2 linked regions of the Caenorhabditis elegans genome follow. The protein of the gene in region 1 purifies or fractionates together with the protein of each later gene. This does not show direct contact. Each region holds a gene or a part of one and is shown on either strand. Other genes may lie near its edges.

Region 1 (6,647 bases):
GAATTTCGATAAAATAAAAAACGGAAAAAACTAACAAACTTCAATAAGTGAACGATACTATCGTGGAAATAGTAGTTCGACCATAAGCCAAGATGTGTGCGGGGCTTTCTATTTAAATCGTTCAAATTGTGCCCGCATTTTGATTTCAGAAGTTTTTGAATCAAATTTCATTGTATCAACGAAAATTTCAAAAATAATTGTTTTGAAAATGTTAAGAAAAGAATATGAAACATGAAAAGATATTGCAAGAGTATTCAAGAGTATACTATTGCAAGAGTATTTACAAGGCATACTGTTTCGATAAATTGTTATAAACGAAATATAAATTAATTTTTCAATTGTCCCAGTATACCAATATTTTCAGATGTACCCCTCACATGTGTCAACACAACGGAACAATCGCCGTCGGAAAGAAAGAAATCGAATGTATCTGCCCACCACCATGGGATGGACGTTTTTGTGAACGTCTTGCATGCTGGAGAAAGACTATTTCAACTCAACAACACCGTTATCGTAACAACGGAGATCACTGCATCTGTGGAAATCATTATTCTGGAGCCAGCTGTGACGTCATCAAGTCATGCTTGAACAATGGACAACTCATCGATGGAAAGTGTAAATGTCCGGATGGATATTATGGAGATCTTTGTGATAAAAGATGTCAGAAGGGACATGTCACGTAAGTTGCATTTCAACATTTTAGTAACCAAGAAGAGCGTATCCAATAATATTTCAAAAAATCAAAAACTGATAAGTTTTCTCTGAAACAATACCCGTCAACATTGAATTTAAAATTAACTAAAATTATCCAAGGAGTGCCAAAAATTAGGCCACGCCCATTTATTGATTTTTTTTAAAATTTTACAAAGGAGTTTTATTGGTTTATTGGAGTTTTTGATCACATTAATTTGTTCTTTATATTTTTCCGTAAGTTACATAACTCAAAATAAATTTTCCCACACTCTCAAAGGGAAAAATAATTTCCGTTCGAGACCCTTGAATAGAGAGAAACAATCTGTCGATAAGTAATTAGCCACCTCCTCACTTCACTCTCTCACTTCCGGAAGTACCTTGCTCATTGTGTGTTCTCATGGCTCCGCCACCTAATTACACCCTTATTCATTCTTTTCCATTTTGCAGGTGTTCCACGTGTTCCTCCTTCATACCGGCTGCTCTGTTCGCCATCATCCTGCTCTGCGTCAACAAGTTCAACTATTAGATACATTTTTCGTTGACGAGGAGGGACCAGTTCGAGGGAAATTTTTTGTAATCTGCTATAAACTACACTGAGAATAATAAAACTGTTGGAGAGTTGTCTCGAGGATCAGGCCCCGCCCTTTTGCCAAAATTTTCGCAAACGTGCCGCACACTTTTTCTAACTTTTTTTTTTGTGAATTTTCTATTATTTTTCTTGAAATCCTTCTCAAAACTTTGGCAATCAATTTTCGAATCTATGGTTTTAGCTGAAAATGATTTTCAAAAAATAAAGAAAAAAGCGTGCGGCGCCCTTGCAAACTTTTCTGCATAAACATTTTTTAAAATGCTTTATTATTCTCAGTTTATTGATTATTTCCAGATTTTCATTAAATTTTCCTCTCGAAAATTCAAATTCCCTCTCACCAAAACTCGCTTTTTCTCCGAATTATTCTCCCCCACAAAACGGTGTTTTCTCTCTTTTTATGTCAATTTTTCCCAAAAAAATCAATTAAAAAATCTAAAATTTAGTTTAAAAATATATTATTTTCAATATATTTAAGCACTGCCTCTAGTCGTGTAATGCATTACTTTGATTCTCACATAAAAACACAAAAATCTTCCTTTTTTCTAGACTTTCTCTCAATTCAACCCCAATCGCTGCTTTCTTTCTTTTTTTCCACAATGTCACAATCATTATTAATATTTAATAAATCAAGTTTCTGTGTAAAATCTGGTTTATTATCTGGAAAGTTATGACGAACGGAGACAGAAAATGATTCAGTACAAAGTTGAGAAAAAACGAGAAAGGAAGAGTCAAATGGAATGCTCTAGATGAGCAGTAAAACAACAAAACTTGAGAAATGGAATAAAAATAAATAAAAAGTGGAGACGAGAATGGAATTTTGGATTGGTTATAAACACGATTACAGATAGATCATGGCCTCTAGATTTTCTCTAGAAATCTCCACGCGCTCCTCTCTTCTGGAATCCTCCTTTTGACTTGACAACGACGCGCATGTTCTTTGCTTTGAAATCGTTTCCTCGTGAAACCTGAAAATATTTTAATTTTGTAAAAAGAAAGAATACTGGATGCCTGACGGATATTAATCGCTTGTCAGAAGAACGTATATTTTTTTAAAGCGATAATTTTGATTGATATCAGAGCTATTTTTATACTTATCAGTTCCTCGGGTTTCGATTGCAACTAGGCTTCGAAAGTAGCATAAAGGGACTAGAAAATGGTTGAATATGATTAATTAATCCTACCTTCTTGATCCGATCGAACACAGAAACCTGCTTCGGTGGGTTTGCTTCGAGAACTTCAATCGGCTCTCCGTCCAACAGAACACCTTCCAGTGCTTTTTGAATAATAGCGACTTGTGCGTGAGGGACAATAAGATCAGCGCATCCATTACTCTCTCCTGTTGGGCCGTAGTGAAGCTGGACGAGCTCTGGCTCGTATTGTTCGAAGAGCTCTTCAAGATCTTCCTGAAATTTGTATTTGGTGGAACATGGTTCGAGAGTTTAATTAAAAAGTATACGCACTTGTGTGACAGTGGTTGCCAAGTTCTTTATGATAAGAGTCGATGGTCCAGTATGAATTTCTCTGACAACAGCCGGCGCAGTTCTTCCACGGATTGATGCTGTTGAAATGTTCCTAGTGGCAAGTCCTGCCGCCGCGGCACCGGCTTTAGTGACAAAGTTTGTCTGTGCTCGCCTCTTGGTCGTGAAATTTTGCTTTGGAGATCGATTTGCTGTCTGGAACATGTCGCGTTTCCATTTACCATCGATTCCTGATCCTCGAGCTGAAGAAAAGCTGAAAAACGTAATTGGCTGCCGATTTTGAGACAAGGAAGAAATAATTAATTAAAACAAAAACTTACTTCTTTTTGAAAGTGCGTCTATCCTTATCAACTTCGTCGGCGTACATATTTGATCGTTTTCTGTAAAAAACACAAGTTTGTGGTAATTAGTCATTTTTCCATATAATATCGAAGAGAAAACGTGTGAAACGCATGATAAAAACAAAACGAAGAAATATTTAACTGAAATAGAAAGAAAACGAGTAAACTGGAAACGTTCTATCGAAGAATGAGCTCATTATTGAGCAGAAATCGGAAAATCTAAATGGTCCAAAATTCGAATAAAACGCTTGGTGCATTTTTCCGTCGAGGTGTTTGCACACAATTGCACACCGTACCCTTTCCGTTAATTATCGAATTTTTTCCCGAATTGTTTCTCAATAAACTTCCGATTGCAAATGTCTATTTTAGCGAAATCCTTCATTATTTTTTAATGGTATATATTGCAGAAAATATTCAAATGCGTCATCTATCGTTCTTTTCTACCTTCATTGTCACGTCGGAGTGAACATTTCCATTTTAATCCGCTTTCCGCCCGCTCGTTGCTACTTTATTTGCCGCTTGCTCTGTTTTCCCTGACTTTTCTATATTTTTCGAGTTTCATTATATTTCTTCTTTCTTACAGCTAAAATGATGTCGTCAACTGCTGGAGGCGAAGTGTCCATTAATTCCGGCGATCTTCTCCTTGGAACTCTTTCCACTTCGATTACAAAGCTTGAGCAACAGATTCGAGCGACTCAGTTGTCTCAAAAGAAACTAAATTCAGATTGTGAAACAATGGCAGAGGTTTTCGAAGCTTTATTGGTATTAATTTAATTTAATTTTCAGTACCTTCGAGACCTGAGCGAATACAAGCAGCCTGTGGACTTGCTCCCCTACGTCGGAAAACTAAATGATTCTACAATTCGAGTAAATAATACACATCAGGTAGACATATTGCTTTTAAAGTTATTTTATTTTTAGTAATTCCAGAAACTCGACGATCTCCTCGAACGTCTCACAAAACTCCAGCGGCAGATTGCTCGGGAAACATATAAAAAGAAGAACTCAATTAAAGAACAAGAGCCGCCAGTTCAGCCAGAAAACTAGAAATATCAAGAAGAATATGACCTTCGCCCCTCTCGCGTCTCTGAAAATTCACTTATCACCTAACAATTTTTCTCCAAAATCACACCATTTTCCCCATTTGAATGTATGAATATTCCACTCACCATCCGCTTCTAGTCATTGTTTTTGCCATTTTTCTACTTAAAACAATAACATAAACGAGTTTTTTGTGTGTTGATTAACTTTCTCCAATTTGAACACTAAACCCTGTCTGATGCGGCAAACTTTTCCTATTTCTTTTCGGCAGCTGTTTGTCTATTTTCATATAATCTTATCAATCGAAAGTTTTGCACTTTTGTGATAAGAAACTTTGATAATCACAATATAAACTTTGTCGGAAAACTCGAAACTGTTGCGGAAAATTTTTGCCGAAAATTGAAATGGAGACCCGAAGAACTCGGGGGATGTCCAATTGGGGGGATTACCAACTCGGGGGATTGGCCCCGCCCACAGAACCGTGGCTTGCAATACGCCCATTTCTGCAACTGCCGCACGGTTTTGAAACTGTATTTTTCTTGTTAATTCTCGCTCTATTGAGAAAAATACAGTTTCGAAACCGTGCGGCAGTTGCAGAAATGGGCGTATTGCAAGCCACGGTTCTGTGGGCGGGGCCAATCCCCCGAGTTGGTAATCCCCCCAATTGGACATCCCCCGAGTTCTTCGGGTCTCTTGAGTTGCAAAATCCGCAATTTATCGTAAAATTTAGTGTTTTCGTCTACCGTAGTTTAATAACTCATTTTGAATAAAATCCAGCTTTTCCAACAATTCTTTTCGATTTTCGCCCTTTTCTCTTCAATTATTCTCTCTGAAGCCAACTTCCTTCATTTTTCAAACAATATTTTTTGCAATCATTGTGCGTCATCGCTTTACACCAGCACCCAAGAGCAGACAACAATACGAATTTTGGTTTTCATATGAAAAGTATTGAAATATAAATATGTGTTATATTGCGTTTTGTATTATCAGGTCACCGATCAGCTATTGTTAAAATTACCATATCAAAAAAATGTCTAGACAGCTCCGGACTAAAGTTTATTAGTTTATTTTTAAAAGGTTCTGTAAATTGAGGATTCTAACGATTTCGGGAATTTCAATGATCATCCATCATGCAAACTAACAGCAAAAAATCAAATTAAATTAACAAGTCTCAAACTAAGGCGAAAATAAATAAAAAATCACCAAATCTCACAGTTTCTCACGATTTGAATATCAATGGAGCCCAGAAATCATTTAAACGCCCCAATTGATCGAAATTTGTGACTTAAATACAGTGTGCTTGAAAATCTATCAGTGATCGAACCTTCATTAGATCACTGATCACCCTTCACGTCAAGAAACGAGACACCTCGTGTGTGTTGGTGACTTTTTCGTTCACTTCTCTCAGTTTATTACTTACTCTTTCGCTGCTCAAGCTCCACGTGTTGCTCCTGCTCCAACATTGACAAACAGTCATCCTCGTGGCTCCTCCTTCTGTTCTTTTTCCTCTTTTTTTACTATTTCTAACTCTATTTTACTTCATTTGTCTCTCCTCTCTTTAGCCTGCTTTCTTCTCTACAAAATAAAAACTTAATGAGAAAAGGGCAAAAATGGGAGTTTTCCTTTTACTAAACGAGTAGAAGATCTTCGCCTAGAGATAACCGTTTTCTCTTCAATTTTCATCTCTTTTCGATCTTTTCATTTTCTTCAAATCTTCAGAGCCTTCCGTCTCCCGACTTCTTGGTGAAAATGTCCGCTTTGGCATCGAAGCTATTTGCAAAATGTGCCGCTGGAGGACGGGCTCTTCAGTCCCAAGCAGTTCGGCAATTTTCAGCATATCCTATTGATGATTCTATGTTTGGGCTTAACGATGAGGAGATTGCTGTGAGTTTTTATAAAATATTTAAATTATAATTTTTACTTGAAATTAACCAGGGCGAGCGGTAATTCCACAATTTTCCTATTGTGCTCCAACATTTTTCATTAAAAATTAATGCAAGAATATAAATAGCCAATAACTTGATTAATCTGAAAATATTATACTTTTCACCTGGAACATTGAGAAAGTGTGGTCAAAAATAGCCTGAAATTCGCTTATTATCGAATTATCGAGCTTTGTTTTCCGACAATCGGCAATTTTTGAGCACTTTACCCAATGTTTCAGCCAAAAATAACGTTATTTTCAGATAAATCGAGTGAGTTTTTGTGTTTTTTTTCACTATTTTTGAATGTTGGAACAACATGGTGCATTAGGACATTTTGAAAATTGCCAATTAAATATATAATCTGATGGATTATTTTGTTTTCAATTTCTGATCCCTAATTTTCAGCTACGTCAATCCATCCGTCAATTCGCCGACAAGGAGCTCGCCCCGTATGCTGACAAGATTGACAAGGACAACGGATGGGATCAGCTGAGACCATTCTGGAAGAAGCTTGGAGACCAGGGACTACTTGGAATCACTGCGCCAGCTGAGTATGGTGGATCTGGAATGAATTATTTCT
Region 2 (6,647 bases), on another chromosome or scaffold:
TTCAATCAATTTCTGAGAAGAAAGCCGACAAATTTTATGAAGACGACACAATCCTTACATGAAAATGTTTCTGTTGGCATAACCAAAATTTTAATAATTGGATAAACTTTGAGATGTTCCTCGAAAAATAGTTGTTTTCTTTCTCATCTTTTCTCCAATCCAAAACGATTTCTCTGATTTTTATTGTTATATGGCTTAATTTTTTAAATAAAAAAAAAGGGAAAATTTCTACGTCCTAGATCGGAGTTAGGACGTTCCGAGTCGGAACTTCCGACACGATGTTTCGCAGAGTTACCTCCATTATTTGCTGCTTATTTTTTTGTTGCTAATTGTTTTATGATTTCAGCTGAACGTGCTCCTAGAACAAAATAATCATGAATTTTATTTATATTTTGTGAGAAATAGGGGACAAAAAAATATCCGACATAAATAATTGCAGTTAAAATGCGAGATAGGTTGAACCAAAAGCAGGTTATTGTGCAGCAGAAGCAGAAGCAGTAGCGACGGCCTTCTTCTTCCCGTACAAATGATGATATGATGGTAGGATTTTACGCAGGAATTCAATTTGGTGGGGCGATGTCTGAAAATTCCATATTTTTAGGTTTACTTTCATTTAGAATAGGTAACAAATTGCCGGTTTTCTGATTTGCTGGAAAATTTCATTTCCGCCAATTTGCCGGTTTGCCGGAAAATTTAATTTCCGGCAATTTGCCGGTTTGCCGAAAAACTTAATTTCCGGCGAATTGCCGATTTGTCGGAAAAATTTATTTCCGGAAAATTCCGGCTATTTGCCGGAAAATTTAATTTCCGGCGATTTGCCGATTTGCCGGAAATTTTCAAATTCGGCAAATTAGCGGTTTGCCGGAAAATTTCATTTCCACCAATTTGTTGGTTTTCCGGAAAACTTAATTTCCGGCGATTTGTCGGTTTGTCGGAAAAATTTATTTCCGGCGAATTCCGGCTATTTGCCGGTTTGCCGACTTGCCAGACAATTTCACTTCCGGCAAATTACCGGTTTGCCGATTTTCCTGAAAAATCATTTACCGCCCACCCCTGACACTTGATCCGTGAATTTTGCACAAAAAGCAGCGGCGCCGCACAGAAAAAGAGGCGGAGCGAAAATTCGCAACCATGCAGCACTGTTTTTCACTTCATTTCAAAAAATTTCCAATTTTACCTGTTTTATTCAATTTTTTTCATATAAAAAACAATTAAACATGAAAACTGTGGGAAATGGGTGAAAAAAAGAAAGAAAAACTGTGCCGCATGGTTGCAAAATTAAGCTCCGCCTCTATTTCTGTGCGGCGCCGCTTTTTGCGAAAAAAAAGCAGCATTTCCCGTACCATATTCGGCGTTTTCGTCGTTCTACTCAAATTCGTGGCTGCATAAACAGACACAGAAGGTTCCAGATTTTGATGGGAAAACACTGTACACTTGGCTCCAACGCTACAGTCATCTGAAACGGAGCAACCGTCTTCGAGCACCGCATGCACACCAATCACATTCCGGCTTCCAACGTATTTTGCACTGGATTTCGAGTGGACTTGAAAGATGTTCCAGTCACCGATTATCATTGGTTGACCGTCGCTGCTGGAAAAAAATCGTTTTTTTTCTCAAACATTGCCTAAAAATTTTTCTGTTGAAATGGAGATTCTTGCCGAATTTGCCGGAAAAAACCTTGCCGGTTTACCGATTTGCCGGAAATTTCAAATTTCGATTCCGGCAATATGTCGGTTCGCCGTAAATTTTCAATTCCGGCAATTTGCCGATTTGCCGGAAATTTTTATTTTCGGCAAATTGCCGGTTTGCCGGAAAAATTAAATTTTAAATTCTGCCAAATTGCCGGTTTTCCGGAAATTTCAATTCCGGCAATATGCCGATTTTCCGCATGCCGGATATCAGCTTTGCCGGAAATTTTCAATCCCGGCAAATTGGTGGTTTGCCGGAAAAAATTAAATTTATAATTCCGGCAAACTGCCGATTTGCCGGAAAAATTACATTTTGAATTCCGCCAAATTGCCAGTTTGCCGGAAATTGTTATTTTCGGCATATTGCCGATTTTCCGCATGCCGGAAATTTTAAATTCCGGCAACAAGTAGGTTTGCCGGAAAAATTAAATTTTAAATTCCGGCAACTTGCTGATTTGCCGGAAATTTTCCATTCCAGCAGATTGCCGATTTATCGAATTTGCAGGAAGTGTTCAATCCCGGCAAACTGGCGGATTGCCAGAAAAATTAAATTTAAAATTCCGGCAAACTGCCGTTTTTTTCCGGCAAATCGGTAAACCGGCAATTTGGCGATTCCTGTATCATATGTTTTGAACATACTTATTCCGAATAACTGCGTATTCTTCAAAAATATTATTTTCTCCAACATAAATTGGGCCTTTTGTGGCGTCGAACACTACAAATGGATGGACGACGCAGCCTTCTTTAATTATAACTTCTCCTTTTATATCCGCTTCGACGCAGACGATTGCACTACTGGCGATGGATACTGTGCTGAAAAAATTGCAATTTTTTTCGATTTTTAATTTTTTTTCTTTCGATTTTTAACGATTTAATTTTTAAAAAATTGAAATTTTAATTTTAAAATTCGATTTTCTAAAAAAAATCGAAAATTTGGATTTTTTATTATTTTTAATTTTAAAAAATTCTAATTTTAATTTCAAAATTCGATTTTCTAAAAAAAAATTTGGATTTTTTTTCGATTTGCTGACAAGAAAGTGGAAAATTTTGGATTTTTTTATTCTGAAATGCCTAAAAACATCTCTTTTTTCTTTTTTTTTCAACAAATTCTGGAAATTTTTTTTTACATCAAAAAAATCCGAATTTTCCAAAAAAATTGTACAAATTTTCAGAAATTACGTTTTTTGAAACTTTTCTAACGAGAAAAAAAAAGCTTTTTTTTTCTTTTTTGGTTTTAATTTAAAAAAAAATGAAAAAAAAATAATTCGATTTTCTAATTTTTTGTTAAAAGTTCCAAAAATTCCAGAATTTCAAAAAAAATTTTTAATAAAAAAACTGTGTTCCTTTTCTTGGAATTCCAGATTTTCTAAAGTTTTTTACTGGAAAATTCTGGAAATTTCTGTTGCAATTTAAAAAAAATCCAATTTTTTTTTTTGAGATAAAAAAATTTGAAATTTCAATTTTAAAACTAGACACTCTAAAAAAATTTGAAATTTCAATTTTAAAACTAGACACTCTAAAAAAATCGAAAAATTTCGATTTTTACCTGAAATTCTTTAAAAAATTTCAGAATTTGTTTTCCAGAAAATTCTGGAACTTTTCAAAAAAAAAACAATTGTTTTGAAGAAAAATCTAAAATTTTCCACTTTTAAATTTAAAAAATTAATTTTTTTCCAACTCACCTAGTTTCAGTCATTTCTAAAATCCGTTTCTTTCTGAAAATTGCATTACTTCTCTCGACAGATTGCACAATTTCTCGCCACAAATATTCCATGGTTTTATATTCAAAAAAAAACCAATTGGAGACAAAAAAGAGAGCGAGAGACAGGAAATAGTCATTTCCCACGACAAAAACGATACTTTTATTCTAGTGTCAGCGGGGGAAATCGGGGAGAAACAACAAGAAACATGGTAACAACAAAAACAAAATAATTAGGTGAAAAGGAAGGAAAAAAATCCAAAAAAAAAAAACTCAAAAATTCCAAAAAAAACCGACTTTTCGGCAAAATTGAGCACTGTGACCAATCAGCGATTCGCTCCGCCCACTTTTCAACCAATCAGGATTTTCGGCGCAATTCTACTGGTTGTTCCAACATTTTTCATTGAAAATTAGTGTCAAGATATGGAAATTTACTATCAAAATGTATAAATCGATCTTTGAATTTTGCAAAAATTGTTGCCCGTGCGGCAGTGTTGCGAAAGCAAGCTCCGCCTCAATTTCTGTGCGACAAAAATTTTTGCAAAATTCAAAGATCGATTTATACATTTTGATAGTAAATTTCCATATTTTGACACTAATTTTCAATGAAAAATGTTGGAACAACCAGTAGAATTGCGCCGAAAATCCTGATTGGTCAAAAAGTGGGCGGAGCAAATCGCTGATTGGTCGCAGCGCTCATTTTTGTCAAAAACTCTGATTTTTCATTTTTCTTTCGGGGATTTTCTGAATTTAAGACTATTTTTTTGTCAAATTTTTAATTAGATATCCGGGAGACTCCTGGAAGGTCATTTTTGTCGGGATAAATTGAAACAAGTGTATCACTGTCGACAACTCTGACTTGATCAATTGAAAGAGTTGGGAATATCTGACGACTTGAGAGAATCAGTTCATCCATTGTCTTTTTACATGCTTCCAGTGATTGTTTCGAAGATACTTCTACCCAGATGCTCGTGGTATCCACAGTTAGCTGAAATTTTTGTTTCCAATTTTAAATACTAGAAATTTTTAATTTTTATTACTATATCACAAAATTCTGAGAAAATGCGTATTGCACAACATATTTGACGCGCAAAATATCTCGTTGCGAAAACTACAGTAATTCTTTAATTGACTACTGTAGGTCGATTTACGGGCTTCGCTTTTTGAAATGAGTTTCTGTTCGAATTGTGGCAGCGGTTTTAATTTTCGTCCAATTTTTCTTCTTTTTTTTTAAATTTTCATCAATAAATTACAAAAAAAGAGTCAAAATCGCTTTACACTGTTTTTCTTGTTAATTTTTCAATAAAGTTTGAGTTTTTCTTGTGTTTTTCTTTTTTTCGAATGAAAATGCTATCCAATTCGAAAAAAGAGAAAAAGACCAGTGAAATTGAAACTTTATTGAAAAATCAACAAGAAAAGCAGTGGAAAAGCGATTTTGAATCGTTTTTTTGTAATTAATTGTTGAAAATATAAAAAAAAAGAAGAAAAATTGGACGAAAATTAGAAAAGGCCACAATTCGAACTGAAACTCATTTCAAAAAGCGAAGCCCGTAAATCGACCTACAGTAGTCATTTAAAGAACTACTGTAGTTTTCGCTACGAGATATTTTGCGCGGTAAATATATTGCCCAATACGCATTAGTTAAAATTTTCTGTGTTTTTTTTTTTTTTTTTTTCATTTTTTCCGTTGTTTCATAATTTTTCTAAGTTTGCTAAAAATCTTTAACTGACCTCAACGGGGAAAATTTTCTAAAAATTGACAAATTATGTGTAAAATGAAGCTCTTTCTTCTTAATTTTTGAAGCAAATTTTCGAAAAAATAAGATTTTTCAAAAACATTTTTACTAAAACTGTTCAAAATTTTCCATAATAATGAACCTTTGTGCAATCCGAGTTGGTTATCGGTGGCAGGCTAATAACAATTTGTTGAGAGTCTACAAGACACGCAAGAATATTCTCATCCTTTACTATATGCAAGTACTTGTGCAATGGATCAACTGTACTTCTCTTGCTCCGTTTTCTGGCCAGCTCAGCGTCACGAAGAAGACTGTCCAGCAGTTCAGATGCACTTACACTCGATTTTTTGTTTAATGCACGGATCTGGAAATGGTTTTTTTTTTTGGAAAATGAGGAAGCAGTGGGGAAAAATTAGTTTTTGCTCATTTTTGCTAATTTTTTGAAACAAATTTTTTTAATTTTCTTTAAAAATTTTTGCTAAAATTGCCGGTTTTAACAGGTTTTTTTTTTGATTTTCAAAATTTCAGCTTAAAAAAAGATTTTTCTAAAAATAGTTTTACTTTTGTCATTTTTCCTAATTTTTTGAGAAAATCGAAACATTTTTGTTTTTGCTGTTTAAAAAATCAAAAAAAAGTATTATTTTCTCGGTTTTCTCTTAAAAAAAAGAAAAGAAAATTTAAATTTCTCTTCAAAAAATCGAACATTTTTCAATTTTTACAGGGAAAAACGGAAATTTTCGATTTTTTCAGAAACAATTTAAAAAGTGTTTTTTCTCTGAAAAAAAATCGAAAATTTTAGTTTTAAACATTTTAAAAAATGTAAAACATTTTTTTCTCAATTTTTCCTGAAAAAATCGGAAATTTTCAATTTTTTCAGATAACATTTGTGGGTTTTCTCTGGAAAAAAAAGTATAAAATTTTCGAATTTCAAACATTTTTTATTCGAACATTTTTCGAAAAAAATCTGAAAATTTTCAATTTTCTTTGAAAAAAAATCGGAAATTTCTCTCAAATTTTATGTTTTTTTTTTCAATTTTCACTTTTTTAAATCGTACATATAGTTCATCCTTCGGAAGAGCCATATAACAAAGTGGAAGCTGAAAAGAATCGAGCCGATGCGTTCCAATAGCCGAAAGAGTTCGATTCTCACAGAGAGCCGACGCGTGCATTTTCGTTTGAAGAGCAATGAATTTCTTGAACGAGTCTCCTCCATTGAGATCAACATTATTGATGACACAGCAAACAAGATATGGTCGGATTTCAGAGACACTGGGATGCCTACGAACTGTCAAATTCTCAATTCCAGTACGGACTGTGAGTGGGGCGTCTGGAACTGGAAAATCGGGGGAACCGGATTCAGGAGCTTTCTTCTGCTCTTCAGAATTTCCAATTGGTTTTCCAATTTTTTGAGCCAGAGCAATCACTGCATTAAGCTTCCCACGCTTATCATTGGCAAGCTTCTGAAATCTGCTCTCCGAGAAGCAATTCTTCGAAATATCCAAAACCTTCAACTTGGGAAGGTGT

The links. Proteins that work in one complex are often made in the same cells at the same time.
Region 2: the proteins of C02B10.4 (region 1) and dnc-6 fractionate together in Caenorhabditis elegans (co-fractionation; one large-scale study listed by BioGRID). This does not show direct contact.

Annotation. Positions count from the first base shown.
Region 1 is NC_003282.8:5,088,079-5,094,725, reverse strand, and holds C02B10.4 (RRM domain-containing protein), read right to left. Parts: upstream 3,141-6,647; 5' UTR 3,128-3,140; coding exon 3,081-3,127; intron 3,014-3,080; coding exon 2,743-3,013; intron 2,686-2,742; coding exon 2,464-2,685; intron 2,248-2,463; coding exon 2,152-2,247; 3' UTR 1,919-2,151; downstream 1-1,918. Other genes in the region: EGF-like domain-containing protein C02B10.3, read left to right, coding at 365-679, 1,141-1,219; snpn-1 (SNAPIN protein homolog), read left to right, coding at 3,693-3,845, 3,888-3,986, 4,032-4,148; ivd-1 (Isovaleryl-CoA dehydrogenase, mitochondrial), read left to right, coding at 5,892-6,026, 6,473-6,647.
Region 2 is NC_003279.8:3,164,949-3,171,595, reverse strand, and holds dnc-6 (Dynactin subunit 6), read right to left. Parts: upstream 3,404-6,647; 5' UTR 3,385-3,403; coding exon 3,371-3,384; intron 2,502-3,370; coding exon 2,328-2,501; intron 1,591-2,327; coding exon 1,344-1,590; intron 581-1,343; coding exon 473-580; 3' UTR 366-472; downstream 1-365. Other genes in the region: Y54E10A.6 (B3/B4 tRNA-binding domain-containing protein), read right to left, coding at 4,163-4,375, 5,266-5,487, 6,179-6,647. UniProt on the Caenorhabditis elegans protein: Part of the dynactin complex that activates the molecular motor dynein for ultra-processive transport along microtubules.